Linked DNA regions of Anolis sagrei. The protein of the gene in region 2 interacts with the protein of the main gene of each other region in a pairwise test. Links are inferred from orthologs where the notes say so. Each region holds a gene or a part of one and is shown on either strand. Other genes may lie near its edges.

Region 1 (8,031 bases), on a different chromosome or scaffold from region 2:
GGGGGGTTAAAATTTTCGCAGGGGGGGGGGTTTGAAACCTGCCTCCTAGCTCACGCTGAAGCAAAGAGCACAGCAGGGGGCAGAGCAACCTTCCATAGCCTGCAGCTCCGCCCCTGTCAACCACCTCCACCAAGTCTGGCCTCCTTAATGAGAGCATTCAACCCCCCCCCCCCCCAACTTGGTTGCTTCGTTGCATCGGCTATTGCTGCAAGTAATGACAGTGTGAATAAATTGTCAATATTTGCTTGAGATAGTGCTTGCAGTTCTGGAGGGACTCTTAATTTTTTGCATCTCATAGACTTAGCATGGGGATTAGTTTAACCAGTTAAAATTCATGAGTAAACCAGTTTTTTTTAAAAAAAAACTCTGAAACATTTCGGGGGGGGGGGGGAGGTTGAACCCCTACCCCCCCCCCCCCCCCGCTACAGGCCTGCCCCTAGTATTCTGTGGTTTCTGTAATCACCATCGGGGCCTCAAACTGGTTCCAGGATTTTCTATTTTCTTCAATGCCAGTTTGAAAGTGCATTAAATGGTCTGTGCAGATGGGGCCATGGTTTCATTGTGGATTTTTTTCTTCCAGTTTAGCATCCCTTTTCCAGAATTCCAAAATAGGAAATACTCAAAAATCCAAAACTACTCACATGGGTGATTGCAAAAGTGACATCTCTGCTGACAATTCAGAGTACACAAACTTCTGCACTCCATTATAAACAAATTAAACCTTTGCTTTATGTAATGATAAAGGAAATTGGCATGGTGCCCAATATTATGCCTGCTTTTCTTCCTCTATGGTACAATAAACGATAAAGGAGAACAATGACATTCTGTTCAGTCGGAAGCATGTTGTAGTTGGAGACCTGTTGCAACTTACACTTTCCCATGGCAATCCTGTCTTTCACATATATATATAACTGAATGCACAAGGCATTCACTAGGAAGCATAGGGCATTTCAATTTGTGGTGTCAGTTTGTGTATGAAAAATTAACCACAAATGTCAGACAGAGTAAAGATAAAAATCCTGTTAAATAACTCGAGGATATGTAAATTGATTTCAGAAGACACAGACAAAACTAGCGGTGAAATTGATATCCTGTGCAAATAATTTATATATGAAGACAGCATGATACATATTTGTCTCATTAATAAATCAAGACACCCTTCCTGCATATTTAATAGCAACTTGAATGAATGTGGCCAGGTCAATCAGATAAAGTGAAGCAGAGGGGAAACACAACCTAACTGGAATAGGAATGATGGATTCTATAAGTGGATTCTGTTCATATGTTTGATAACAAATAATTCTTCATATACTCACATGTCCTGAAAATGTGGATGAATGTTGTAATAATGCTCACCTGAAATCTACACACTGAGGCAATAAATGGTATGAGGGACATATTGTGAATGTGAAATATGATCTGCCTAAAAAGCAGTAGGGCAGATAATTGTCAAATTCAACAAAGTTTCTAAACCAGAATTTGCATTAAGATTATTATAACTACAAGGACCACAACTGAAATCACTATTAGCAGTATGGTGGAACAAACAAGCACCTTGGTATCTCTATGGATGTCCTGGTCCTCAAACACTCTGTGCTTCGTTCAGAAAAATATATCTTATACTAGGGCGGCTCAACCCATTACGCAAAGTAAGCATTTGCAGTATAGTTGATTTTGCCCAGGGGCATTCTTGAGGCGCTCTTGGGGGAAAATAGACCTTGACATATGCGAGTTGTAGTTACTGGGATGTATAGTTCACCTACAATCAAAGAGCATTCTGAACTCCACCAATGATGGAATTGAACCAAATATGGCACACAGAACTCCCACAACAAACAGAAAATATATATCACTGATTGGTTGGGGGGGGGGGCATCAAAATACTGTTTGCTTACCGTTGAAAATTACTTAGGGCCGCCTCTGTCTTATGCCCATAGCCTGAATGTAATTTTATACAATATTTTAAAAATATTTGTGCATGAAACAAAGTTTGTGTGCACTGAACCATCATATATCAAAGGTGTCACTATCTGTGCCAACCATGTGGACAGTTTTGGTGTATTTTCAATTTCACAGTTGTGGATACATGAAGATCTCATAATGCATTCTAGAAACATGCTTTTATGAAAATTAAAAAAAAATCTCACACATAATGAGCTGTCTGTAAACCTTGAGATAAAACAAACCCGAACAATTGATGAGAAGTGTGATTGCAAATCATATGGCCGTTAAAATATTAAAGGCTGAGAAAACAAAGGACCAAAGATGGAAAGTGAATAGTTGCTGCTTCAAGACAGGTGAAGGTATAAGTAAAATTTAAGATTAATTTAAATTTAATGCAACTATATCTTATAAGATGATGATTATACTGCATTGCAAAAAAGATTCAATCGTGGTTTTTTTCTTTTAAAAAAAACTTACGAGAGGATTTGGAGAGCAGAAAAAAGAGGATTACAGTTCTTCTCAGCAGCAAGTAATCCTTTTAAGGTAGGTATGTCAGTACTCATTGAGAACTGTGGGAAAGTGCTGGCTACTTAAAATGTTTGACAGATTGAGGAAAATGTAATGGCAGGAAGCTGAGATTAAAAATCTTATTATTACAGTGGACCCCCAATTCAGTTAAGGTCCCAATTTTTAAAAAAAAATGAGCTGAGCTTTAGTTTAATATTTCTGATATAGTGTTAAAAATTACTAGGAAAGCAGTATGCATAGTACTTATTCAATGAAGCACATTTACTCCCAGAGAGTGCCCTTATGCTACAATTATATTTTCCTACAATGGACAGATTTGGTCTGCTTTCATATCTGCTAATAGTGTCTTCATGTAGACATTTATTCTGCTCAGAAAACAGCAGTTCAAAAGTGCTTCAGCCCAATTATAGGGTGTATCATAAGTCTCAAGCAGAATTATGGTTATGAATTTCACTGCCTGGTTGAAATTCAAAGGGAGGGGCTGAGCAATCATCAGAAATACTCTCATAGGATGATGAGCAAAGTCAAAGGCTACTCCAGAACCAATAGTTATAAAATATAACCAATGTCAGGTTTCAAGTTGCCGATGAAGAGCACCTAAGGTCTAGCTGTAACGTTATGTCTGAAATGCTGATAAGAGCCTTTTGAGAAGGTAATAATAACACAAAGACAACCAAAGCATTGGGAAAAAAGACTTTGAAGTAATTCAAAAGAGGATTTTTGTCAGTTGCAGAAATTCAGTAAATGCATGGGAAATCCATGGCAGTAAATGGAGAGGTGTTTGTGATACAGCTGGGGCGGTTACAGTTAAATTAATTCCAATAAAATGAAAAAGTCTGCTTCTCTGTTACATAAAGGCAAAAGAAAGGCATTCTAAGCAGCATACATTAAAAAAGGAAACACCAGAGAAAGAATGATCGCATATTAAAAATAAAGGAATTACTGTACAAAAGTATAAAGTTTTGAAAGAAGACAGACCGCAGCAAAGAAGAGGGAGTGGCAAAGCATATAAAACAGCCCTGGGTTTTATACATTTCTTAAGGGAATTTGACAGTGCTCATGTCTTGCACATTTGTATTATAATTCCATTTAATTTATCACAGGGCATTCTATCACAATCATTTGGTTCATGCTCATGGACAGCTATTTAGCTGCATTGAATGGCTCCACCATAATGTTAAAGAGCAGGACAAGCACCAACAGAAAGGCACCTTGAGAACACAAAAGGCTCTTATTTCACAAGGAACTTCTGAGAATTTGCTTACCACCATTATTGCTTTTCTCTTTTGTTTTTTCCAACAAAGCTTACCGTAAATCACACCTGTATGTTTCAACTTTATGGTGTTGCAATGCAAACCGTTATTGATTTTTGTTGTTGTGTTAGGAGTAACTTGAGAAACTGCAAGTTGCTTCTGGTGTGAGAGAATTGGCCACCTGCAAGTTCTGCAGATGATGCCAGACTGTAGCTACCTGCAAGAACGTTGCCCAGGGGACGCCCGAATGTTTTGACCATCCTTGTGGGAGGCTTCCCTCATGTCTCCGCATGAGGAGCTGGAGCTGATAGAGGGAGCTCATCCGCGCTCTCCCCGGATTTGAACCTGCGACCTGTCAGACTTCAGTCCTGTCAGCACAGGGGTTTAACCCATCGCGCCATTGGGAGCTCCTCGTTATTGAAATGACTCAGTGTTAATATTTGTGCACAACCCTTTAACCCTAAGAAAGAATGGAGGAAATCATGAAGTTCTGCAGATGATGCCAGACTGTAGCTACCAACAATTCCTTACCACTGGCAATGGTACCCAGGATTGCTGGGACTTGCAGCTGTATTTGATTATTTATTTACACCAGTGTTTCTCAACCTGGGCGTCGGGAACCCTGGAGGGAGCTAGATGTGAATGTTTCAACTGACCACCTAGATTAGCATTTAATGGCTTGGAAGTGCCTGGGGGGAATCTTTCGTTGGGAGTGATTTGATGTGCCTGATTGTTTACTCTCTGTTGTTTTGCTGTCAATCAGCAATCAAGGTGGTCAGTTGAAACATTCACACTTAGCTGCAGCAATCAGAAGTCCTTTGTCCCACCTTGGTCATTCCACAGATATATAAACCCATTTTCCTATTTCCAACAGCCCTCACTACCTCTGAGGATGCTTGGCATAGATGCAGGCAAAACGTCAGGAGAAAATGCCTCCAGAACATGGCCATATAGCCCAGAAAAACCAACAACAACCCAGTGATTCCGGTCATGAAAGCCTTCGACAATCCACTATCCCTTTTGCAGGACTTTCCCTTGCGTTGCCTTTCCTCTCGCCGCCTGAAGGTGGCGCTGGACCGGCCCGCTTGCTCGCCTTGGCCTGCGCACTCGGAGTGACGCATGCGCGCTCCGGCCGGGGCTCCTCCTGCTTCTCCGCCTCTTCCGCCCCCTCTCGCCACGCTCTCCGCGTCCGGCGGCAAGGAAGCGCTCGTTTGAATTTGGGATCACGCGGTTTGCGCGGAAAAGAAGGCAAAGGTGGGCTTGATCCGGGCTTTTCCGGGGTTTGGGGTCCAGGAAGGCCAAGGAGGGCTTTCTGCCATAGGGACAAAAAAGTTTCTTCTTGTTGGAAAAAGTTGGGTGATTTGGATTTGGCACAAAAGCTGTTTGGAGGGAAGGCGCCTTGCCTTGCCTTGGGTCTTTCTTAGGCGAGGGAGGCTCAGAGGCGGGTTTGGCAGTGCTCTCCTCTGAAATGTAGCCTTGGTGGGCTCCCCTCCAAGCCCTAACCAGGGCTGACCCTGCTTAGCACCCAGCATCAGACTGGGATCTGGTGCCTTTAGGGTCCTTAGGCCTATTGCAAAGTGACAATAATATTCCTCTGAAATATAATTATATATTATATATTACATGTAATATCACTAATAATATTGCAGTATAGTAGAATATAATAATATAGAATACTAATATTGTGCTATGCTAATAATTATAATATATTGTATGTTCAAACAATATTGATATAATATTATAATACAATATAATACTAGTAATAATACAATATAATAATATAATAATGTGTTTTATATTATATGTAGTATTAATATTGTAGTAGAGTGGTATTGTGCAATATTTATTTATTTATTTATTTGAACTTATATGTGTTAACCTATAAAGCCCTAAACGACTCCGGCCCTGTTTACCTCTCCGAACGTATTCTCCCCTATGAACCATCAAGATTACTAAGATCGTCTGGAGAGGCCCTGCTCTCGGTCCCACCGGCCTCGCAAGCGCATCTGGTGGGGACGAGGGACAGGGCCTTCTCAGTGGTGGCCCCTCGACTCTGGAACTCTCTCCCACCGGAGATCAGAACCGCCCCTTCTATCCTGACATTCAGGAAGAAGGTGAAGATGTGGTTATGGAGACAGGCATTCGATGAGTGAGCCAATACCCTGAGATATGGATGGAGGATGATGAACATCGAATTTAGTGGGACGACTGACCATTGTATTTATTGAATGTAATTGCTGTTTTGCTGTTCTAATGTTTTAATGTTTTATTGCAATATGAAGTGTGATGTTTTATTGACTGTATGTATATTATGGTTGGAAACCGGTCTAAGTCCCTCATATATAATACTAATATTGTGCTGTGCTAATAATAATATATTGTATGTACATATAATACTGATCATAATGTAATACAATATCATACTAGTAATACTACAATATAATATAATAATATATTTTATATTACACATACTAATATTGTGCTATGCTAATAATTATAATATATTGTATCTACATATAATATTGATCATAATATTGGGTTGTTGTAGGTTTTTTTGGGCTATATCGCCATATTCTAGAGGCATTTCTCCTGATGTTTTGCCTGCATCTATGGCAAGCATCCTCAGAGGTAGATGCAGGCGAAACGTCAAGAGAAATGACTCTAGAACATGGCGATATAGCCCGAAAAAACCTACAACAACCCAGTGATTCCGACCATGAAAGCCTTCGACAGTAGATCATAATATTGTAATACAATATAATACTAGTAATACTATAATATAATATATGTAGTATTATATGTAGTATTAATAATATGACAGTACAGTGGTATAGTAAAATATAGTAATATATATTACTAATATTTTACTATGCTAATAATTATATTTTATGTACATATAATATTGATCATAATATTGTAATACAATTTAATACTAATAATAACTATATATGCTATATTACATGTAGTGTTACTAATAATATGACAGTAGGTGTATAGTACAATATAGTAATATGTAATACTACTATTGTGCTATGGTAATAATATAATATATTGTTTGTACATATAACTTGTAAGCCCTTTGGGGTGAGAAGGGTGGTATATAAATGTTGTAAATAAATAAATGTTGCTTATGGCATTCATTGGTGGTTTCCCATCCAAGTACTATCCAGGACTGACCCTGCTTAGCATCCAGGATCAGACAGGATCTGGTGCCTTCAGGGTATTTATTTAGTCCTGAACCAAGGAAACTATCACTAGCTTCTAGGGAAAGCTCGAGAGATTTTAGACTTCAGGAGGTGGGGCCAACAAAGAAACAAACAAAAGAATGTGCTTTCGAAATGATTTTCCAGAGGGCAGTTCTGGCAGAGAATTCCTTGCAAAAGTAAGATTGCAGTTGTTTAAGAGTGAAAGAAGCCCGGCCTCCTCTGTGTTTGAGGCCTCCCTGTCTTTTTGTTTTTGGGCTGCAGTGAGTTTTCTGGGCTGCATTGCCATGTTCCAGAAGCATTCTCTCCTGATGTTTCACCCACATCTATGGCAGGCATCCTCAGGTTGTGAGATTTGTTGGAGACTAGGCAAGTGATGTTTATATATCCGTGGAATAATGTCCAGGGTGGGAGAAAGAACTCTTTGTCTGTTTGAGGCAAGTGTGAATGTTGCAGTTGATGCAGTTTGAAGCCTTGCAGCTTCAAAGCCTGGCTACTTCCTGCCAAAATGGGAATTCCAGACAAGAAACAATCAGGGCCAGCTAATCACCTCCCAACAAAGGATTCCCCCCAGGCAGGAAGTGAGAAATCTACCCCTTGGAAGGGAAATTCATTCCTGAAAAGGTTTTTATGGGGAAATGGTCTCCACTGAAGCTTGTATCACCAATCCTTGATTCCACAACAAGCCATTTTTTTTTCAAAAATTGAAAACACTTAAAAATGTACCTGTTTTGACTTACATACAAATTCAACTTAAGAGCAAACCTACAGAACCTACCTGGTTTGCAACTTGGGGACTGCCTATTCAGAAGAGTCTTGTGGCACTTTACAGATTTCTATGGAATGCAACATAGCTGACATTTAAGATATTCTCAAGACTCTTCAGTAACTTTGGTGCAAAATACTAACACTGGGAACCTTAGAAGAGATCTGACATTAAAATAAGAACGGTATTGGTATTGTATTTCTGCTCTTATCTGTGATCTTGCGTTTCTAAGGGTCCTTGTACATTATAGAATTATTACAGTTTGACACTACTTCAACTGCTGTGGCTCAAAGCTAGGGAATTATAACATGGGAGTTGTAGTTTTACAAGCTTTAAC
Region 2 (8,236 bases):
TCTAATAGCATAGATAAAATTATATATAATATTATTAGATATATATTATATATCTAAGATTATATATATAATATATATTATATATTTCTTACTGTCTAATATATCTAATAATATAGATAATATTATATATAATTTTATTAGATACATATTATATATATTACTGTATATATTATTATTGTTATATATATATATATATATATATATATATATATATATATATAAATGTATATTATCTATCTATTACTGTCTAATATATCTAATAATATAGATAAAATTATATATAATATTATTAGATATATATTATCTAATATATATCTGAGTGAGGTGGAATGGGCCTTAAGAAGCATTGCTAACAATAAGGCAGCAGGAGATGACGGGATCCCAGCTGAACTGTTTAAAATCTTAAAAGATGATGCTGTCAAGGTGATGCATGCCATATGCCAGCAAATATGGAAAACACAAGAATGGCCATCAGACTGGAAAAAATCAACTTATATCCCCATACCAAAAAAGGGAAATGCGAAAGACTGCTCCAACTTCCGTACGGTGGCCCTTATTTCTCATGCCAGTAAGGTAATGCTCAAGATCCTGCAAGGAAGACTCCAGCAATACATGGAGAGAGAGTTGCCAGATGTACAAGCTGGGTTTAGAAAAGGCAGAGGAACGAGAGACCAGATTGCCAATATCCGCTGGATAATGGAGAAAGGCAGGGAGTTTCAGAAAAACATCTCTTTCAGCTTCATTGACTGTTCTAAAGCCTTTGACTGTGTAGATCATAATAAACTGTGGCAAGTTCTTGGTGGGATGGGCATCCCAAGCCCCCTTCCCTCTCTCCTGAGGAATCTGTATAAGGACCAAGTAGCAACAGTCAGAACTGACCACGGAACAACAGACTGGTTCAAGATTGGGAAAGGCGTACGGCAAGGCTGCATCCTCTCACCCAACCTTTTCAACTTGTATGCAGAACACATCATGCGAGGATGTGCGGGGCTTGATGAATGCAAGGCTGGGGTGAAAATTGCTGGAGGAAACATTAACAACCTCAGATATGCAGATGACACCACTTTGATGGCCGAAAGCGAGGAGGAGCTGGGGAGCCTTCTAACCAAGGTGAAAGAAGAAAGCGCAAAAGCTGGGTTGCAGCTAAACATTAAAAAAAAACCAAGATTATGGCAACAAGAATGATTGACAACTGGAAAATAGAGGGAGAAGAAGGTGGAGGCCGTGACAGACTTTGCATTTCTAGGTGCAAAGATTACTGCAGATGCAGACTGTGGCCAGGAAATCAGAAGACGCTTACTTCTTGGGAGAGAGCAATGTTCAATCTCAATAAAATAGTAAAGAGTAGAGACATCAGAGACTTCCGTCAGTGGCCCTTATTTCTCATGCCAGTAAGGTAATGCTCAAGATCCTGCAAGGAAGACTCCAGACAGACATGGAGCGAGAGTGGCCAGACGTTCAAGCTGGGTTTAGAAAAGGCAGAGGAACGAGAGACCAGATTGCCAATATCCGCTGGATAATGGAGAAAGGCAGGGAGTTTCAGAAAAACATCTACTTCTGCTTCATTGACTATTCTAAAGCCTTTGACTGTGTGGATCATAATAAATTGTGGCAAGTTCTTGGTGGGATGGGCATACCAAGCCACCTTGTCTCTCTCCTGAGGAATCTGTACAAGGACCAAGTAGCAACAGTCAGAACTGACCACGGAACAACAGACTGGTTCAAGATTGGGAAAGGCGTACGGCAAGGCTGCATCCTCTCACCCAACCTTTTTAACTTGTATGCAGAACACATCATGTGATGTGCGGGGCTGGATGAATGCAAAGCTGGGGTGAAAATTGGTGGAAGAAACATTAACAACCTCAGATATGCAGATGACACCACTCTGATGGCCGAAAGCGAGGAGGAGCTGAGGAGCCTTCTAATCAAGGTGAAAGAAGAAAGCGCAAAAGCCGGGTTGCAGCTAAACATCAAAAAAACCAAGATTATGGCAACAAGAATGATTGACAACTGGAAAATAGAGGGAGAAACCGTGGAGGCCGTGACAGACTTTGTATTTCTAGGTGCAAAGATTACTGCAGATGCAGACTGTAGCCAGGAAATCAGAAGACGCTTACTTCTTGGGAGGAGAGCAATGTCCAGTCTCGATAAAATAGTGAAGAGTAGAGACATCAGACTGGCAACAAAGATCCGCCTAGTCAAAGCCATGGTATTCCCTGTAGTAACCTACGGATGTGAGATCTGGACCTTAGGGAAGGCTGAGCGAAGGAAGAGAGATGCTTTTGAGCTGTGGTGTTGGAGGAAAGTGCTGAGAGTGCCTTGGACTGCGAGAAGATCCAACCAGTCCATCCTCCAGGAAATAAAGCCCGGCTGCTCATTGGAGGGAAGGAGACTAGAGACAAAGTTGAAGTCCTTTGGCCACATCATGAGGAGACAGGAAAGCTTGGAGAAGACAATGATGCTGGGGAAAGTGGAAGGTCAAAGGAAGAGGGGCCGACCAAGGGCAAGATGGATGGATGGCATCCTTGAAGTGACTGGACTGACCTTGAAGGAGCTGGGGGTGGTGACGGCCGACAGGGAGCTCTGGCGTGGGCTGGTCCATGAGGTCACGAAGAGTCGGAGATGACTGAACGAATGAACAACAACAATAGATAAAATTATATATAATATTATTAAGTATATATTATGTATATCTAAGATTATAGATATATAACATTATATATCTATTACTGTCCAATATATCTAATAATATAGATAAATTATATATAATATTATTAGATATATATTATATATCTAAGATTATATATATAATATATATAATATATAATATATTATATATCTATTACTGTATATAATATTATTATAATATATAACATATATTAATATATAAATATATATAATATTATATATTTATTACTGCCTAATATATCTAATAATATAGATAAAATTATATATAATATTATTAGATATTATATATCTATGATTATATATATAATATATATATAATATATATAATATATCTATTACTGTCTAATATATCTAATAATATAGATAAATTAAATTTAACATTATTAGATATATATTATATATATAAGATTATATATATAATATATATTATATATCTTATTACTGTATATAATATTATTATAATAATATATAATATAGTAATATATAAATATATACAATATTATATAGCTATTACTGTCTAATATATCTAATAATATAGATAATATTATTATATATTATATATCTAAGATTATATATATAATATATAATATATTATATATCTATTACTGTATATATTATTACAATATATAATATATATAATATAAATATATGTGTTATATGTTACATATTATGCATTAATAATAGATATATCAATTACTCCAAAGGCCACCAAGAGCAACTCAACTCAGCAGAACTTCTCTCTTTTCCTTTCTCAGCATCCCTCAGCCACCATCCTCCTCTTCCGGCCTCCACTGGCACACAAACACGGCCACTTCCGCTTTGCTAGACAAGTCCCCACAAAGCAGGAAGCTTCCTTAACCGAGCGTTTGCCGCCATCTTGGATTACGTTAAAGCCCCCTCTAGCCTTTCCCTCTCTGTGGTTCTTCATGGCCGCAAGGAGCCAAGCGGGGAGAAGCGTCAAGGCGGCGCGGTGCATTTCGGGAAGGGTAGTTTCTTTCGAGGCGAAGGGGAAGGCGTGCCTAAGGGACGTCGGGCAGGGCGGGGACTCCATTTCCCGGGATGCTCTGCGTTCTAAAGGGGAAGCAGCCTGAGAGAGCTTGGCCTGGGGTGAGTTTGTCTCCTTCTTCAAGGCCTCAGGGCTGTTCTTACTCTATTTAATATATATTTTATGTTTTAAAAGTATTTTTGTAAAAGGGAAGGGAGAATTAGAGGATGCTTGAGAACTGTTTGGTGTGCTTATGTGTTGTTATTCTTTTAATAGGAAATATAGCTGCATTTTATGGGAAATTAATACAATATATCTATTTGTATATATAAAAATGCTCTGTGCATAATGAGTACCTTAAAAACAAAAGAATCAATGAACGAAATCACACCAAATTTGGCAACAAAACGTCTCACTACACAAGGAGTGACCATCACTCAAAACATTATGGTTTTGTCATTTGGAAGTTGTAGTTGCTGGGATTTATAATTCACCTACAATCAAAGAGCATTCTGAACTCCATCAATGATGGAATTGAACCACACTTGACACACAGGACTCCCCTGACCAACAGACAACACTAGAAAGGTTTGATGGGCATTGATGTTGAGTTTGGGAGTTGTAGTTCACCTACATCTAGAGAGCACTGTGGACTCAAACAGTGATGGACCTGGACCAAACCTGGCACAAATACTCAATCTGCCCAGATATAAACACAGATGGAGTTTGGGGAAAATAGACCTTGACATTTGGGAGTTGTACTTGTTGGGATTTATAGTTCACCTACAATCAAAGAGCATTATGAACTCCACCAATGATACAATTGAACCAAACATGGCATACAGGACTTCCATGACCAACACACTGGAAGGGTTTGGTGGGCATTGACCTTGAGTTTGGGAGTTGTAGTTCACCTACATCCAGAGAGCACTGTGGACTCAAACAATGATGGATCTGGATCAAACCTGGCACGAATATGCAATATGCCCAAATATGAACACAGATGGAGTTTGTGGGAAATAGACCTTGACATTTAGGATTTGTACTTACTGGGATTTATAGTTCACCTATAATCAAAGAGCATTCTGAACTCCACCAATGATAGAATTGAACCAAACATGGCATGCAGGACTTCCATGACCAACAAAACACACTGGAAGGGTTTGGTGGGCATTGACCTTGAGTTTGGGAGTTGTAGTTCACCTACATCCAGAGAGCACTGTGGACTCAAACAATGATGGATCTGGACCAAACTTGACGCAAAAATTCCATATGCCTAAATATGCACACAGATGGAGTTTGGAGGAAATAGACCTTGACATTTGGGATTTGCAGTTACTGGGATTTATAGTTCACTACAATTAAGGAGCATTCTGAAACCCACAAACAACAGAAATGGGGCAATCTTCCCACACAGAACCCCCATGACCAACAGAAATTACTTAAGGCCATCCAGTCCAACTCTCTTCACCAGGGCAAGAAAATGTAATCAGAGCCCTCCTGACAAAGAGCCATCCAGACATAAATATACATAGATAGATATGATTCTCTCTCTCACACACACAGATATAGTATCACAGATTTGAAAGAGACCCTTAAAGAAGGACTATGATATGTTGCATATTCCAGAGTAGGCAAACCAGACACTCTCCCCATCAACACTGACAAAGAAACAACAAGAAATACTGTTTACTCACAAGCATCAAGGAATTACATATATTAGAAACCAACACTTTCTCATTACTTTATTTTCCAGATCTCCAGACTGGGCCACAGCAACACGTGGCAAGGGACAGCTAGTATAATTTATAAAAATAAAGTTAAAAGTATAAGGTTTTGCTGTGAGGTGAATCTCATAAAAGGTGCACTCTGCACTATTATAATAATAATAATAGATAAATTACAATAATAATAGGTTGCCATGTTCTAGAGGCATTCTCTCCTGACGTTTCGCCTGCATCTATGGCAAGCATCCTCAGAGGTAGTTGGAACTAGGAAAATGGGTTTATATATCTGTGGAATGACCAGGGTGGGGACAAAGGACTCTTGTCTGTTGGAGCTAGGTGTGAATGTTTCAACTGACCACCTTGATTAGCATTTGATGGCCTGGCAGTGCCTGGGGCAATCTTTTGTTGAGAGGTGATTATTATTTATTTATTATTTATTTAGCAGTTTTGTATACCGGTCTTCTCACCTCTGTTCGACGGACTCAGGCCAGTTTCCAACATCAATATTACAGACAGTCATTAAAACATCATTTTCTAAATCACACTAAAACATTAAAATAGCAAAATACAATCATATAATTACAGGGGTCAGTCGTCATCAAAAGTCATTATTCGTCGTCATCCATCCATATCACAGGATCATGGCTCATTCGTCGAATGCCAATCCCCAAAGCCAAGTTTTCACCTGTTTCCTGAACGTTAAGATAGAAGGGTCAGTTCTGATCTCCAGTGGAAGGGAGTTCCAGAGTCGAGGGGCCACCACCGAGAAGGCCCTGTCTCTCGTCCCCACCAGCCGCGCCTGTGAGGCCGGTGGGATTGAGAGCAGGGCCCCTCCAGACGATCTTAGCAATCTTGGTGGCTCCTAGGGGAGGATACGTTTGGACAGGTAAATTGGGCTGGAGTCGTTTAGGGCTTTATAGGTTAAGACCAGCACTTTGAATTGTGCTCGGAAGCTGACTGGCAGCCAGTGGAGCTGGCGCAACAGAGGAGTAGTATGCTCCCTGTACCCCGCTCCCGTTAGTAGTCTGGCTCTGTTGTTTTGCTGTTGTAATTTTAGAGTTTTTTTTAATACCGGTAGCCAGATTTTGTTCATTTTCATGGTTTCCTCCTTTCTGTTGAAATTGTCCACATGCTTCTTGTGGATTTCAATGGCTTCTCTGTGTAGTCAGCCATAGCAGAGCACCTGATGAACCAACCTGGACACAGCATATTATTTGAGAACACAGAAATGCTGGACCACTCTCACAACCACCATGTCAGACTACACAGAGAAGCCATTGAAATCCACAAGGATGTAGACAATTTCAACAGAAAGGAAGAAACCATGAAAATGAACAAAATCTGGCTACCAATATTTTAAAAAAACAGAGTAGAATAATCTAAATGTATCATAATAATAACAATAATAATAAAGTAAAATAATAAATGTAAGAATAAAATAATAAATGGCAACAATGAGACCGGACAATGTTTTTAACAAGGATACACTATAAATTTATATGTTATTGATATGTTAATTTTTATTATATGTTATGCTTCTAATTGTATTTATGATATTGTAAGCATTGAATTTTACCCTGTTAACTGCCTTGAGTCGCCTATGGGCTGAGAAAGGCGGTATACAAATACAGTAAATAAATAAATAAATGTAATAAATGTAATCAAAACAATAATAGAGTAAAATAATAAGTGTAATAATAATAACAAATAGAGAAAATAATAAATGTAATAATAATAATAATAAATAGAGAAAAATAATAAACGTAATAAAATAGTAGTAATAATAATAGAGTAAATTAATAAATGTAATAAAAATCATACTAATAATAGAGTAAGATAATAAATAATCTTGACTCGAATATAAGCCGAGGGAAGCTTTTTCAGGCTGAAAAAGGGGCTGAAAAACTATGCTTATACTTGAGTATATACAGTAGTTAATTAACAATTCTCTATCAGTATTTATGGTATGCAGGCTCCCCCTCTGCTCTCCATCCACCTTCTGTTTACAAGCAGCTAGGCTACATTAAATACTAGTTTCCATCTTAATCTGGAAACAACTACATTAGTTAAGGTTTCTGTTTTCACTCAAGTTTGAATGGCAGTTGTGAGTAAAGTGTGTTGGGATCTTATTTTGGGAGAAGGCTTGGATATATTTATTTATTTATTTATTTACTTTGCTTATATACCGCTGTATCTCAAGCCCGAAGGCGACTCACAGCGGTTCACAAACAGTAAAAACAGTAGAAACAGCAGTGGTTCCATACAACATATAACAATTGACTTAACACATTATCCATAAATTACCAATAAGCAATTACAATGCACAATTATTACAAAAAACAACCGTACCCAATCTTCTCATCATCCAAGCGTAGTCCAGGTTCGTTGTCCATTGTTCCATTCCTATGTTCCATTACCAGATTGCACTAAATTACTCAAACGCCTGCACATACATCCAGGTCTTCACCTTTTTGCGGAATACCATTAGAGATGGTGCTAGTCTAATGTCTGTAGGAAGGGCGTTCCACAGCCGAGGAGCCACCACCGAGAAGGCCCTATCTCTCGTCCCCGCCAGCCGAGCTTGAGAAGCAGGCGGGATCGAGAGCAGGGTCTCCCCGGAAGATCTCAAAGTCCTGGTGGGTTCATAGGCAGAGATGCAGTCAGATAGGTAGCTTGGGCCGGAACCGTTTAGGGCTTTAAAGGCCAACGCCAGCACTTTGAATTCAGCCCGGTAGCAGATCAGTTGCCAGTGGAGTTGGCGCAACAGGGGGGTTGTATGCTCCCTGCGCTCCGCTCCTGTTAAAATCATGGCTGCCGAGTGTTGGACTAGTTGGAG
Region 3 (7,672 bases), on a different chromosome or scaffold from region 2:
TGCACCCGAAGCAGTAGGCGATCATAATCCATTAGATAAAACTCCTTTCCTTCAATATTTCTTCACACATAAACACTTTTAACATGCTATTAATAAACAGGTCTCTCTATATAATGCATCCTCTCTTACTCTCTCTCTCTCATCTCCTTCAGAACATTGCCTGTCCTCCTTCTGCCAGGAATTCTGGGAGTTGAAGTCCCAAACAACCAGAGGGCCATACGTTTGATACCACTGCATAATATCTTCCACACTGACTTTCTCAAGCAATCACTACCTGTATGCAAATTTACTTCATTTATGGACAATTCATTCTATACCTGCCACTGAAATCCATATAACCATATTATATTAATGGAACACAATATAGGATCACTAACTATCATGACAATTTATGTAATATCACAGGGAACATTCTGTGCACAGGTTTCTCACTTTTTCTGCTCGTTGTGAGTAGTAGTACTGGGGTTCCATCTACACTAGCCATTTAATGCAGTTTGAAGCTAAGTTCAAAATGTGGCGACCAAATAATAAACTCTCACAAAAGAAAGAAAGCCCTCAATGCACCCCAGTGCTCTGTTATTTGGGTAATTATCATCTGACCCTCAAACTGGTTCCATGGTATCATTTGCACAGCAGAAGAGCATTCTTAAATGCTATTTTGAAACTGCATTAAATGGTCAGTGTAGATAGGGCCACAGAATGCAAATCCTGGGATATCTGAAAAGGTCCAGCAGCACTGAATGTTATGATTATATCCCAAAGCCAGCAGTGACAAAGATCGATAGACTGGGTCTCGGCTAAAGTTTTTTTTAAAAAAAACAGTGTCACCCTAAAACTTATTTTTAGGGGAGCTAAGAGAGAAACACAATCTTTCTCTCTCTTATTCATAGATTTACATATACTCACAACAAAACTTGGCTTATTTACAAAGTAATTCAGAAGGAGGCATGGAAAAGAGAAAAGTCAAATATCTTACTTTAGTTTGGTAGTCACAAATATTATTATTAGATTTGAAATTTCCAACCTTTTATCACTCAGTCCTATATGGTAATGTACTTTAGCTGTACTGTACCCTGCCTTCAGGAGAGGTGGCCACAAATAAATAATAAAAATATTTAAGAGACCAGAAGTCAGAACCAATGAGGTTGTGACAACTTAGTAGCATGTTTGTCTTATATGTTAAAAAAATAAAGGCTACTGGCAGATCTTTTGTCTGCTATCCCTTTCTATTTCTCTTGCACTATAATAATAATGGGCCTCCTGGTAGCACAGCGGGTTAAACCGCTGAGCTGCTGAACTTGCTGACTGAAAGGTTGGAAGTTTGAATCCAGGGAGCAGGGTAGGCTCTCGCTGTTAGGCCCAGCTTTTGTCAACCTAGCAGTTCGAGAACATGCAAATGTGAGTAGATCAATAGGTACCACTTCTGCAGGAAGGTAACGATGCTCCAGGCAGTCATGCCGGCCGTGGAGGTGTCTACGGACAACACTGGCTCTTTGGCTTAGAAATGGAGATGAGCACCACCTCCCAGTAATAATACAATAATATTAAAAAAGACTAGAAGTCAGAACCAATTTAATAGTAATATTTAAAAAGACTAGGAGTCAGAACCAATTAGGTTGTGACAACTTAGTAGCATGTTTGTCCTATATGTTATAAAAATAAAGGATTCTGGCAGATCTTCTGTCTTCCATCCTTTTCCATTTGTCTTGCACTATAATAATAATGCCCCCCCCCCACTGGTGCAGCGGGTTACACCTCTGAGCTGCTGATCTTGCTGACCGAAAGGTTGGCAAATCAAATTCGGGGAGCAGGGTGAGCTCCCGTTGTTAGGCCCACTTTCTCCCAACCTAGCAGTTTGAAAACATGCAAAGTGAGTAGATCAATGGGAACCACTTTTGCGGGAAGGTAACAGTGCTCCATGTAGTCATACTAGCTACATGGCCTTGGAGGTGTCTATGGACAGTGCTGGCTCTTCGGCTTAGAAATGGAGATGAGCACCACCCCCCAGAGTCGGGCATGACTGGACTTAATGTCAGGGGAAACTTTTACCTTTACTACTACTACTAATAATAATAATAATAATATACTATAATATAATAATAAAACTTTATTTATAACCTGTCCTATCTCCCGGGGGAGGGGATCCTCAGGGCAATTTCCCAAAAAGGATGGAAAACATTTAATACCACAATAAACAATAGAAACAAAACAAATCAAACCAAACAGTAAACAAACACATAAATACAAACTTATAGTAACTGGCCACCATACATATCTATTTGACAGTTTGCCCCACTAAATTTAATAGTTTACTTTCATATTAGCGTGCATAGGATTACAACCTTCCCTGTTTTCAGGAGGCCTTGCTTTTGATCCTCTTCTCTAAATCTGATCAGAGTTAATGCCTACCACCTGGAAATGTTTTGCAATTGCACTCTATATTCAAATTCAAAACAGCACAAAAAGAAAAGTCAAAAGAGGAATATACTGGGGTTGCAACTCATAAGAATATAACATTATATCAATGCTGTTAAGAGCACCAGCACCTTTTGGTAGTGGGGTCCAGAGGTGACCAATGGACTCTGCTTTGGAATGTCGTGCCTCCTCCCTAGCAATGTTTTCCTTGAGTGCATCTCCACTGTAGAATTAACACAGTTTGACACCACATGGCTCTGTGTTACAGAATTCTGGGTTTGTGGTCATCCTTTGGTAGAGAAGACTAATGGCCTTGTAGGATTACAACTCTAAGGATTCCATAGCCTTGAGTTATGGAATTGAGTTAAAATAGTATCAAAATGCATTCATTCAACAGTTAATCTCAAAGGTGCCCTAATACATGGAAGGCAGTGCAAGCGGGAACACCTTTTATTATCCTCTTCTGATGCTTCCCAAACCCCTCCACAGTCCCCAAACACTCAGCTTACACTGTAGAACAGGCATGGGCAAACTTCGCCCCTCCAGTTGTTTTGGACTACAACTCCCACAATTCCTAACAGCCTCAGGCCCTTTCTTTTTGCCCCTCATCTGCTTAGCCAAAGTTTGCCCATGCCTGTTGTAGAATGAATGCAGTTTGGCACTACTTTGAACCGTCATGGGTCAAAGCTAAGGAGCCCTGGGAGTTGTAGTTTTGCCAAGGCACCAGGGGAGGCTGAAGCCCTTGCACAACTACAGATTCCATAGCATTGAGCCATGGCCCTTGACTTGGTATCAAACTGCATTCATTCTACCAGAGGAGAGGAAATCAGAGATTGCCCTGGTAATGAATGCTTAAGAGGGAACTTCCTAGCCACTCCGTGCGCATGCGTGTTGCAGTTCTTTTCCCCCTCCTCCTACCCCTCCCAAAAGGAATTCCGTCCCGTTAGAAAGGCGGCTGCAGTTACCTATTTGCCTCGCGCAGTCGGCCGGGTTGCGCGCGTGAGGCGAAGGAAGCGGCACCGCTGGGCTCGCGACCCCCAAAGGGCTAGGGCGACTGAGCTTCATTCATTTGTAGACTCGCCTCTACGCTGTCCACTTCCGGCGCCCTTGCGACACCTCCCCTCTCCCCCGAGGGAAAGGCTGGGTGGAGACACTCCTCATTCGAGAACCCACGGGTGCCTCTCTACACTATAGCATTAATGCAGTTTGACACCACTTTAACTGCCATGGGTCAATGCTATGAAACCACAGAAGTTGTAGTTTTAAAAGTTATCTTGCCTTCTCTGCTGGAGCCTTCTCAAGCCACAACGCCCAGGATCCCATAGCATTGAGACCTGGCAGTTAAAGTGGTGTCAAACTGCATTAATTCAGACTGTGTAGATCAGTGCTTCTCAACCTTGGGTCCCCAGATGTTTTTGGCCTACAACTCCCAGAAATCCAAGCTAGTTTACCAGCTGTTAGGATTTCTGGGAATTGTAGGCCAAAAACATCTGGGGACCCCAGGTTGGGAACCACTGGTGTAGATGCATCTTCTGTGTGGGTTGCATGTTAGGCCAAGGGTGCAGTTACACTGTAGAGTTAATATAAAATATAAAATTATAACAGTAAACAAAGAACAAAACTCCAGACAAGAAACAAACAGGAACACCTAATCACCTCTCAACAAAGGATTTTCCCAGGCAGTAACAAGTTACACCTAAAAACCGTCAGGCCATCAAATGCTAATCAAGGTGGCCAATTGAAACAATTACACCTAGCTCCAACAGACAAGAGTTCTTTCTCCCACACTGGACTTTCCACAGATATATAAACCCAATTGTTCTAGTTTCCAACAGACCTCACAACTTTTGAGGATGCCTGCCACAGTTGTAGGCGAAACGTCAGGAGAGAATGCTTCTAGAACATGGCCATACAGCCCGAAAAACCTACCACAACCCAGTGATTCTGGCCACGAAAGCCTTTCAACAATACAGAGTTAATATAGTTTGACATGCAACTGGGATTCAGTTTGGGCTTGTGGTTGATGTAGTTCATCCCATTGTTTATACGGGAAACTCTCAACCAGAACTCAAGCAACCTACAAAAGCAAAGAAATAATACATTAAAATTAAACCAATTTTAGTAGAAATGGAAGTTTAAATTAAGTTTGTCTTTATTTGCTTTCAACTACTGTATTTCAATATTAATATCAATACAAAATTTCTGGTATGAAGTATACTATACTAGGCCCATTTTTAATAGTAGCTCTCAAGCAACCAGAAACTACACCTATCCGGTATCTACATAGCCCCATGGGTGCCAGTTAACTGAGAGTCTACTGCATTGCAGATTGGGCTCATCTCCACTTCTCAGTATTACCATTGCCTGGTTGGCTATCATAATATTTGAGTATTCTTTATTGTGTTCATATTAGAAAACTCTTTTTAATGTTTCCATATAAATTCCCTTTTCCCTTTATATATTTACAGCTTCCTCTAGTTTCTAAGATGAGTCTAGGCCCGGTCATTGCTGAAAGGCTGGCTTTCTCAAGGGTCATCTTATAGGTATACCTTGGGACGAAATGAATAAGCAACCCGGAAGCTCAACGGCTCTTGGTGCTCTACTATTTCCACACTCTGTGCTCATTCTGGCACAACAAACATTCACGCAGGAGGCGTGACCAACAGGCTTGGAACTGTCATCCAGTCGCTGGCCCTAGATGTCAATCAAACGATGGAGGCGGGACAGAAGAACCTCATTGGTGGGCGAAGACTGAGTGTTGTTTGGGAGTGTTCGAAAAGGGGGGAGGAGTTTGATTAACTCATAGAAGTTAGGAGGAAGAGGTGGTGCATAGTAAAGGGGATTAACTCCTTATGTTGTCGAAGACTTTCATGGCCAGAATCACTGGGTTGCTGTGAGTTTTCTGGGTTGTATGGCCATGTTCCAGAAGCATTCTCTCCTGACGTTTCGCCTGCATAGGTGCAGGCGAAACGTCAGGAGAGAATGCTTCTGGAACATGGCCATACAGCCCAGAAAACTCACAGCAACCCAGTGAGGTCACAAGCTCTGAGAAGTCAGTGTCTCTGAGACTTCACAACTTCTGAGGATGCCTGCCATAGGTGCAGGCGAAACGTCAGGAGAGAATGCTTCTGGAACATGGCCATGCAGCCCGGAAAACTCACAGCAACCCATTAACTCTTTAATCAGCTTGAAAATCCAAGGTACGTCTCCACTGGAGCATTTATGGAGTTTGAGACCACTTTAGCTCCCAAGGCTCAATATTAAAGAATCCTGAGAGTTATAGTTTTACAAGGTCTATGAGTACTGGTCTTTGCCAAACTACAACTTTCCACAGGATTGTGCCATGGCAGTTAGAAGTAGTGCCAAACTGTATCCCTGCTACAGTGCAGATGCAACCCTAGCTGGCATCTACTTAAACTAGGCGGAAGAGAGGGAAAAAAACTTTTGAAAACTCATTTCATATCCATCCCATTGAAACCTGCTCTTTATAATGGTAGGGCCATATCTACGCCCTTTCTCTAATTATAAGTTGACTATCCATTATTTGAAATGCTTGGGAACAGAATTAGTTCATAGTTTGGATTTTTGGGGATTTTGGAATACAGTACTTGCATATACAGAATAAGATATGTGGATGAGACTTGTGGCTAAACACGAAATTCATTCATGTGCCATATAACTATGCAAATAGCTTTAAGGTAATTTTATACACCATATCAATAATTTTGTATGTGAGACTATTTGTGTACCCTATACCATCAGAGCAAAAATCCATGGACTATTTCAGAATTTGAAATTCTGCATAATGGATGCTCAACCCAAAATTGATTGCCATACAGAGCAACCCGAAGCCTCGCTGTTAAGTCATTCACCACAATTGTGTTGTTGCTTGAGTGTTGGATTGGGGTTTGAAGTCCTGTTTGGCCATGGAAGCATACTGAGTGGCTTTGGGAAAGTCACTCTCTCTCAGCTTTGGAGGGAAGTACGGGCAAATACTCCTTGGATCAAATTCTGCCAAGGAAACCCCAATATGGTTCACCATGAATCAGAAATGACTTGAAGGCCCAAAATTATGTAAAGGATTTGATTTCGGTAGCCCCTTGCTTTCCTCTGAGGTTGAGAGAGTGTGACTTCTCTGAATTCATTTGCAGTGGTTCTCAACCTGTGGGTCCTCAGATGTTTTGGCCTCCAACTCCCAGAAATCCCAGGCCATTTACCACCAGTTAGGATTTCTGGGAGTTGAAGGCCAAAACATCTGGGCACCACTGGGCACTGATTTAGTGGGTTTTGGGGGCCAATTAGACTGAGAGGGGAAAAAAAACATTGGAGGAAGGAGCACCAACAATATTCAAGTGACACCAAAATACCAAGACATTGAATGATTACTGAATAGTCAAGGTAGAAAGTGCAGAAGCGGGTTTACAGTTGAACGTTAAGAAAACAAAATATAATGACCATGAATGATTTACATAACTTTAAAGTAGACATTGAAAAAGTTAAAGATTTCCCGTACTTGGTTCAATCATTAATCAGAGTTGAGATTGTGGTCAAAAAATCCGAAAATGACAAAGGTTTGGAAGGGCAGTTTTGAAAAAACTAGACAAGATTCTAAAGTGTTGAGATATATCATGAATGCTAAAGTTAGAATGGTCCATGTCGTTGTATGCCCCGTTTCTATGTATGGTTGTGAAAGCTGGACAGCAAAACAAAACAAAACCCCAAAACAAAACAACAACAAAAGCAAATTGGAAGAAAATCAACTTATTTGAGGTGAAGTGCTGGAAAAGAGTTCTGCAGACACTGTAGACTGCCAAGATGATTAAATGGAGACTGTTGTACTTTGGACATATAAGAAGAAAATGTAACACGGTGATAATGTAACACGGTTTTTGTTCCTGGGTTATAAATGTCATTTCCCACTTGGTTCTATCATAAAAACATGGGGAAAGCTTATTAAACTGCAAAAACTTTGCGGGACATCCTGCAGCATGTTTTGCTGTAACTTTCAATGAATATCTAATAGTCTCAGCCAATTCAACATAGTTTATGGCAGCCACAAAAACAAAGCTTCTAGAGTATAACAACTACTTTCAAACTACTGCACAATTAAACAGGAAATAACACTTTCAAACCAGAAACAGAAAAGAAATCAATTTTATTACATAGTATAATGTTTGCAGATGTGGAGAGCAGTAGGAAAAGAGGAAGACAACATTTCAGATGGATAAACTTAATGAGAGAAGCAATAGGTCTGAGT
Region 4 (8,560 bases), on a different chromosome or scaffold from region 2:
CCCTTTAGAGTACACTCATGCAGTTGAATGCTATGGAATCCTGGGAGTTGTAGTTCGAGGAGACTCCAGCACTCCTTTTCCAGAGAAGGCTAAAGGCCTTGGTAAACTCCCATCTTCCCAAACCCTCACCGCTTTAAGCCATGGGAAATTACAAGTAGTCTCAAGTGGCATGAATGCAACAGTGTAGATCAGGCATGGGCAAACTTCGATCTTCCAGGTGTTTTGGACTTCAACTCCCACAATTCCTAACAGCCCCAAGCCCTTCCTTTTCCCCCTCAGCTGCTTAACCTGAGGAAAGGAAAGGGCCTGAAGCGGTTAGGAATTGTGGGAGTTAATAGAATCATGGAATCATTAAGTTGGAAGAGACCTCATGGGCCATCCAGTCCAACCCCCTGCCAAGAAGCAGGAAAATCACATTCAAAGCATCCATGACAGATGACCATCCAGCCTCTGTTTAAAAGCCTCCAAAGATGGAGCCTCCACCACACTCCGGGTTAGAGAGTTCCACTGCTGAACAGCTCCCACAATTTGGATGTTCTTCCTGATGTTCAAGTGGAATCTCCTTTCTTGTAGTTTGAAGCCATTGTTCCGCGTCCTAGTCTCCATGGCAGCAGAAAGCAAGCTTGCTCCTGCCTCCCTATGACTTTCCCTTACATACATGGCCCTCATCATGCCTCCTCTCAGCCTTCTCTTCTGCAGGCTAAACATGCCCAGCTCTTTAAGCTGCTCCTCATAGGGCTTGTTTTCCAGACTCGCCCTCCTCTGGACACATACCAACATCTCCCTTCAAGTGTGGTGCCCAGAATTGGACACAGTGTAATTCCAGGTGTGGTCTGAGCAAGGCAGAACAGAAGGGTGGCATGATTTATGTTCTGATTTATGCAGGCCAAAATCTCATGGGCTTTCTTAGCTGTTGCACCATGTTGTTGGCTCATGGTGCAACAGATCTTTTCCACATGGACTGCTGTACAGCCAGGCATTCCCATTCTGTATCTTTCATTTGTCCCTGTTGAACTTCATTGAGTTGAAGTCCAAAACACCTGGAGGACCAAAGTTTGCCCATGGCTGGTGCAGAGGCACCCTTAGTTACAATGGCTGCCAAGGGAAGCATCCCTCCTTCTCCTCTTTCCAGCTGACTTTCCCAAAGCAGTCTTTCTAAGCCCAAGGCAAGAGAGCAGGAGAGCCCTCCGCCTGGTCCCTCTGCCTTGCCGCCTGCTGCCCGCCTGCCTGCTTGCCTACTTCTCGCTTGCAGCCGCCGCTCTTTGTTTTCCACATAGCTCTGCGCTGACATCATCCGGGTTTGGATTGCAATTAACATTCCTGCGAAGTGAGAAGCCAGGGCTCGCGCAGCTATGAGAAGCAGCAGCAGCCGGGAAGAGACAAAAGCCAAAACTAGACATATCTCCAGATAACCACAAAGCATGCTTGCACAATGTATAGATGGATGCATACTCACAACTGAACCCCCAACTCAACAACCGACACCTCCAAACAAGCACATTGAATTAAGCAAAGAATGGCACAGGAAGGAGTTCAAAGCAACCCTCGCTCACTCCAGCTGTACATTGAGGCCTTGCTTGCCCAACTTTCTCAAGAACAACCCAGTCAAAGAAAGCGGGCAAGAACCAGAGCCAGCCAAAGGGATTGAAGAAACCTCTCCCGAAAACCAAGAGTGCAACCATCCCACTTCACCATGGCGTGACTTGGCCTTCCAAGAATCACTAAAGGCTACTATTGCTTCTCAATGAGTACATAACATTTTGACCTCAGGCATGGCTTGACTATGGCTGGACCTGCACTGCCAAACAACACATTATTCCTAATATTAGTAATAATATTGCAATATAGTGGTATAGTACAAGTTAATAATATTATATATATATATATATATATTACTAATATTGTTATATGCTAATAATATAATATATTATATATACATATAATATTAATAATATTAGAATGTAACACAATATAATACTAATAATACAATATAGTAATAGTAATATATAGTAATAATATTATTATAATGCAATACAATATTAATACAATATAGTAATATATAGTAATAACATTGCAATATAATACTAATATATACATATGACATTAAAATATTGTAATGCAATACAATATAATACTAATAAAACATAGTAATATAGAGTAATAATATAGTAATATAATAATACTAATATATATACATATAATAATACTGTAAAGCAATATAATACTAATAATATAGTAATATATAGTAATAATAGTGTAATATAAGAATACTAATATATATATATATATACATATACATATAATAATATTGTAATGCAATATAATATGGAGTAATAATATTGTAAAATAATACTAATATATGAAATAGATACATATTATATTTTAATGCAACACAATATACTAATAATACATGATGCAATATAGTAGTATATAGTAACAATATTGTCATATAATACTAATACATTAAATATAGTACTACTGATATGATAATAATAAATAATGATATACTGTTTTACTATTGTATATTTGTATATTTTAAGTTGCAATATTTTGGATTGTGAGCCACTTTGAGAGATAAAGCGGGATATAAATAAACAACTCAATAAATAATGTGGTCAGTGTCAATCCATATCATAAATTCAGTGCAGATCTGACTTTTTGCTCCCAAAGAATCATCCCTCTTGGCTCTTAAAGGGGGCATCACATTCTGACTCCAATAGATATGCTTTGCCTTCGCCTTCAAAGAATCAAGGCTAGTATGAACTGTTAAAGAGTGCAAGACATTTCGACCCCAAAAGACACAGATGTATTTAGCCTCCAAAGAATAATCAGGACTGCTGAAGAGTGCATAACACCCAGGCTTCAAGAAGACATGGATTTACTCAGCCTATGAACCATAGCATGCCTGCCATAGATGCAGGCGAAACGTCAGGAGAGAAGGCTTCCAGAGCATGGCCATATGGCCCAAAAAACCTACAACAACCCAACCATTGTAGAGTTGTTATATGAATTTCCTAAGATGTCTGGCCATGTTCCAGAAGCATTCTCTCCTGACGTTTCGCCTGCGTCGATGGCAGACATCCTCAGAGGTTGTGAGGCCTCACAACCTCTGAGGATGCCTGCCATCGATGAAGGCGAAACGTCAGGAGAGAATGCTTCTGGAACATGGCCAGACAGCCCAGGAATCTCACAACAACCCGGCGATTCTGGCCATGAAAGCCTTCGACAACCACTGACGATACGATTCGCTTTTAAAGAAGGCACCACATTGCGAGTTTCTTGGGTTGAGTGAGCCCTCCAAGAACTGCAAAGGCTGCAATAAGCTGGGGAAGAATGGGCGCATACACACACATTTTGGGAAGACATGAATGAAGGCTCCGCTGTGAGGGGAATACTCACCGGACCATACTAGCAGCAGCACAGCCTTGCCTTCTCCCAACGTAGTCCCGGGCCTCCCAAAAGCGCAAACTCGGTGCTTTTCCTCTGGTTTGCGGGGGAGAGGACGACCAGTTGCCACAAAGCCCGGGCGGAGAGTGCTGTGCGTGCGTGCGCTCCTTGAGCAGTGCGCCTTGGTGAATGCGAGGTTGCCTCTCTCTGTGTGTGTGAATGTGACCAGCTTGCCTGCCTCCTCTCCCTCCTCCTTTTCCCCCCTGCTGGAAGGAAGGCGACTTTCAATGGTGTCCCTCCCTCCCTCCCTCTTTCCTCCTCCTCCTCCTCCTCCAGCTGCAAGGAGAGCCAGGGAGGCTGGGTTGCGCGAGAGGCGGCGCCCGGCGCTGCTATGCCAGGAATGCGAGAGTTTTCAGGTTTCCCCCGGGATCAAAAGCAGGCAGCTCGCTGCAAAGCATGACCTTGCCCAGGCCCACAGCCCGGCAGGAGGCGCGCGGCAAGGTCGCCAAGACGCCTCCCCGCTCGCCACGCTCCCCTGCCCTCGCCCCACTCGCCTGGGACCCGCTTTCGAGAGAGACCCCACTCTTAAAACCCCCGTTGTGGGCATTCCTGCTTCTACACAGCTATTGGGTACAGCAGAGCTTTCCACACTTTTCGGGACACGTAGATGTATCAGGCCAATGTAACAAGAAATGACAAAAGGCTTGGTAATGTGCGAGGGTTATCTGGAAAGTAGGGTTACAAGGTAACCATAAATATAAATATAATAATCTTATAGATAAATAAAAATGTAATGTTCGTTTGTGGGATTAACAGAACTCAAAAACCACTGGACGAATTGACACCAAATTTGGACACAAGACACATATCAAACCAACCAGTGACCATCACTCATAAAAACACTGAAAAACACTGCAGAAGGGACTTAAAAAGCTAAATAATAAACATTACATTACAATGCATGTGCAAAACCACATACACAAATATATACACACATATATACACACACAAAACACATGTGCACAGACTGGGCCACAGCAACGCGTGACGGGGTGGCTAGTCTATATAAATAAAAATGTAATGTTCGTTTGTGGGATTAACAGAACTCAAAAACCAGTGGGCCAATTGACACCAAATTTGGACACAAGACACTTAACAACCCAATGTATGTCCTTCACTCAAAAAATGATTTTGTCATTTGGGAGTTGCTGGGATTTATAGTTCACCTACAATCACAGAGCATTCTGAACCCCACCAACGATTTGAACCAAACTTGACACACAGAATTCCCATGACCAACAGAAAATACTGGAACGGTTTCGTGGGCAGTGTCCTTTGGTTTTGGAGTTGTAGTTCACCTACATCCAGAGATCGCTCAAACAATGATGGATCTGGACCAAACTCTACACAAATACTTGATATGCCCAAATGTGAACACTGGTAGAGTTTGGGGAAAATAGAATCTTGACATTTGGGAGTGGTAGTTGCTGGGATTTATAGTTCACCTACAATCAAAGAGCATTCTGAACCCCACCAACGATAGAATTGGGCCAAACCTCCCACACAGAACCTCCATGTGGGCCACAGCAACGCATGGCAGGGGGCGGCTAGTCTATATAAATAAAAATGTAATGTTCGTTTGTGGGATTAACAGAACTCAAAAACCACTGAGGGAATTAACTCCAAATTTGGACACAAGACACCTAACAATCCAATGTATGTCCTTCACTAAAAAAAATGATTTTGTCATTTGGGAGTTGTAGTTGCTGGGATTTATAGTTCACCTACAATCCAAGAGCATTTTGAACTCCACCAATTATGGAATTGAACCAAACATGGCACACAAGACTCTCATGACCAACAGAAACACTAGAAGGTTTTAGTGGGCATTGACTTTGAGTTTGGGAGTTATAATTCACCTATATCCAGAGAGCACTGTGGACTCAAACAATGATGGATCTGGACCCAGCTTGGCACAAATATTCCATATGCCCAAATATGAACACAGACTGAGTTTGGGGGAAATAGACCTTGACATTTGGGAGTTGTAGTTACTAGGATTTATAGTTCATCTACAATCAAGGAGCATTCTGAATCCCACCAGCAATAGAATTGGGCTAAACTTCCCACACAGAACCCCCATGACCAACAGAAAATACTTAAGGCCATCCAGTTCAACTCTCTTCACCAGGGCAAAGAGCCATCCAGCCATAGATAGAAATAGATATGATTCACACACAGAGAGATATAGTATCATAGATTTGAAAGGGACCCCCTAAAGGACAATAATATGTTGCATGTTCCAGAGTAGGCAAACCAGATAATCTCTACATCAACACTGACAAAGAAACAACAAGAAATGCTGTTTACCCAGAAACATAAAGAAATTACATATATTAGAAACCAACACTTATTTTCCAGATCACCAAACTGGGCCACAGAAACGTGTGGCAGGGGATGGTTAGTCTATATAAATAAAAATGTAATATTTGTTTGTGGGATTAACAGAACTCAAAAACCACTGGACGAATTGACACCAAATTTGGACACTACACCCCTAACAGACGAACAAGTGACCATCACTCATAAAAACACTGAGAAACACAGCAGAAGGGACTTAAAAAGCCACCCCCCAAATACATTACATGTGCAAAACCACTTATATATATACACAGACACACATATATACACACATATGCATATACACACACAAAATACATACACAGAAAGGGGGAAGGAAGGAAAGAAGGGAAGGAGAGAAAGAAGGAAAGAAAGAAGGATAGAGAAGGAAGGAAGGAGAGCAGGAGGGAGAGAAAGAGGGAGAGAAGGAGAGAAGGAAAGAGAAAGGTAGAGAAGGAAGGAAGGAGAGAAGGAAATAAAAAAGTGAAAGGGGGAGGAAGGAGAGAAGGAACAAAAGAAAGAAAGAGGGAGGGAAAGAAGGAAGGAAAGAGACCAGGAAGGATGGAACCAAAGAGCAAAGGAAGCGAGAAAAGAAACAGTTAGAAAAGGAAGAAATAAGAAGGTAAAGAAAAAGAGGGAAGGAAAGAAAGAGGGAGGGAAGGAGAGAAAGAAAGAAGAGAAAGAGGGAGGGAAGGTTGAGTACCGCAACGTGTGCCGGGTACAGCTAGTAAAATATAAATATAAATAAACAAAGTATAAATAAAACAACAACAATAATAATTATAATAAATAATATAATATATATAATATAATTATAATTACTTAGGCGATCTTTCTTAGCTTTAGGATGATGGTTTTCCAGATGTGTCTTGGTGGTGGGTCCATAGGTGTCTGTGGAGCCCTATTCTTGATCCGCATGTTCTCCTGCAGTGAGGACATCGGTTTCCAGACCGAAGGAGGTTCTGGTCAGGGTAGGCTTGACGTGCCTTTCTCTTGGCACGTTTCTCCCTTTTGCCTCCCATTTGTGCCTTTTCAAATTGTGCAGCAATTGTGGTTAGATCGCTCAAGGGCCATTTCATTTTCCATTCTTGAGTTCGGAATAGAGTAACTGCTTTGGGAGAAGGTGATTGGGCATTCGGACAACCTGGCCAGTTTACACAGTTATTGGGTAGAGCAGAGTTTTCCAAATTTTTCGGGACACCAATATATCACACCAATGTAACAAGAAATGACAAAAGTCTTGGAAATAGTCTTAATATCTTTATCTTACACATCAAATAAGACCCTGTTTTTGTGTGTGAGTGTCAGGGCGACTTGAGAAACTGCAAATCACTTCTGGTGTGAGAGGATTGGCTGTCTTCAAGGATGTTGTCCAGGGGAGGCCCGGATGTTTTGATGTTTTACCATCCTTTTGGGAGGCTTCTCTCATGTCCCTGCATGGGGAGCTGGAGCTGACAGAGGGAGCTCATCCGCTCCCTCCCCGGGTTGGATTCGAACCGGCAACCTGCAGGTCAGCAACTCAATCTTCAAGTCATCAGTCCTGCCGGAACAAGGATTTAACCCACTGCGCCACCGGGAGCTCCTGTAAATATGATTTGGGTGTGTGTAAGGAACGACTTGAGAATCTGCAAGTCATTTCTGGTATGAGAGAATTGACTGTCTTCAAGGATGTTGCACAAGGGACACCCAGATTTTTTTTGATTTTTTAAAACATCCTTGTGGGAGGCTCCTCTCATGTCCTGCCTCCTCTCCTGCTCCCAGTGGCCTTGGGCCTTGACAATTCAAAAAAATTAAAATTAAATTAGATTAAACTTAAAACATATTAAACATTTTAAAACATTCAATTCCATATTAAAATCACACCATCCATAGTTGTAGTCTAAGGTGTTCCACAGTCATTCCATATATTCCAAATCTGTTAATTGCAGTGCACTATTCTCTGAAGGCCTGATCCCACGGCCAAGTTTTTACCTTTCTTCTGAAGGCTAGGCGGGAGGGGGCTGATCTAATGTCACTGGGGGGGGGGGGGAGTTCCATAGCCGAAGGGCTACCACTGAGAAGGCCCTGTCTCTTGTTCCCACCAATCACACCTGTGAAGGAGTCGGGACCATGAGCAGGGCCTCCCAGATGATCTTAATTTCCGAGATGGTTCATAGGGGGAGATACGTTAGGACAGATAAGTTTATTTATTTATCGTGTCAGGGGCAACCAGACAATTGTATTACATTTCTAACAGAACAAAACAAACAAACAAACATACAAAACACAAAATTTGCAAGCTTGGTAGTTGATTAAATGTCCTTTGACCAGTATCTGGCCACTTGGAGTGCCTCTGGTGTTGCTGCAAGAAGGTCCTCCATTCTGCATGTAGCAGGGCTCAGGTTGCATTGCAGCAGGTGGTAAGTGGTTTGCTCTTCTCCATGCTCGCATGTCGTGGATTCCACTTTGTAGCCCCATTTCTTAAGATTGGCTCTGCATCTCGTGGTGCCAGAGCGCAGTCTGTTCAGCGCCTTCCGAGAAGCCTCCTTGCAGGATTGCAAGACATCCAGGTGTCCCCTGGGCAACATCTTCGTAGACGGTTGATTCTCTTACTCCAGAAGCAGTGACATCTCCAGCTCATCCCTTGTTTGGGTATCAGCCAGCACATCAATGACTTAAATCAAGAAATAGTTTTCTAAGATCTACAGAGACACTCACTGGAACACCTCAGCAAGCGAGAGTCCAAAAGTGGCAGGCTCAAACCCAGAACCTCAACCAATGGCTGATACCAAAT

The links.
Region 1: the proteins of ZGPAT (region 2) and CDCA7L interact in binary tests that used the Homo sapiens proteins (3 or more experiments, as listed by UniProt). The two-hybrid records come from large-scale screens. The link is inferred for Anolis sagrei from reciprocal best matches to the Homo sapiens genes ZGPAT and CDCA7L.
Region 3: the proteins of ZGPAT (region 2) and MIPOL1 interact in binary tests that used the Homo sapiens proteins (3 or more experiments, as listed by UniProt). The two-hybrid records come from large-scale screens. The link is inferred for Anolis sagrei from reciprocal best matches to the Homo sapiens genes ZGPAT and MIPOL1.
Region 4: the proteins of ZGPAT (region 2) and AMOTL2 interact in binary tests that used the Homo sapiens proteins (3 or more experiments, as listed by UniProt). The two-hybrid records come from large-scale screens. The link is inferred for Anolis sagrei from reciprocal best matches to the Homo sapiens genes ZGPAT and AMOTL2.

Annotation. Positions count from the first base shown.
Region 1 is NC_090026.1:93,622,823-93,630,853, forward strand, and holds the start of CDCA7L (cell division cycle-associated 7-like protein), read left to right. Parts: upstream 1-4,866; 5' UTR 4,867-4,979; intron 4,980-8,031. UniProt on the Homo sapiens protein: Plays a role in transcriptional regulation as a repressor that inhibits monoamine oxidase A (MAOA) activity and gene expression by binding to the promoter.
Region 2 is NC_090024.1:238,898,074-238,906,309, forward strand, and holds the start of ZGPAT (zinc finger CCCH-type with G patch domain-containing protein), read right to left. Parts: upstream 3,505-8,236; 5' UTR 3,413-3,504; intron 1-3,412. UniProt on the Homo sapiens protein: Transcription repressor that specifically binds the 5'-GGAG[GA]A[GA]A-3' consensus sequence. Represses transcription by recruiting the chromatin multiprotein complex NuRD to target promoters.
Region 3 is NC_090021.1:302,548,570-302,556,241, reverse strand, and holds the start of MIPOL1 (mirror-image polydactyly gene 1 protein), read right to left. Parts: upstream 3,512-7,672; 5' UTR 3,381-3,511; intron 1-3,380.
Region 4 is NC_090023.1:225,788,645-225,797,204, reverse strand, and holds the start of AMOTL2 (angiomotin-like protein 2), read right to left. Parts: upstream 3,653-8,560; 5' UTR 3,400-3,652; intron 1-3,399. UniProt on the Homo sapiens protein: Regulates the translocation of phosphorylated SRC to peripheral cell-matrix adhesion sites. Required for proper architecture of actin filaments.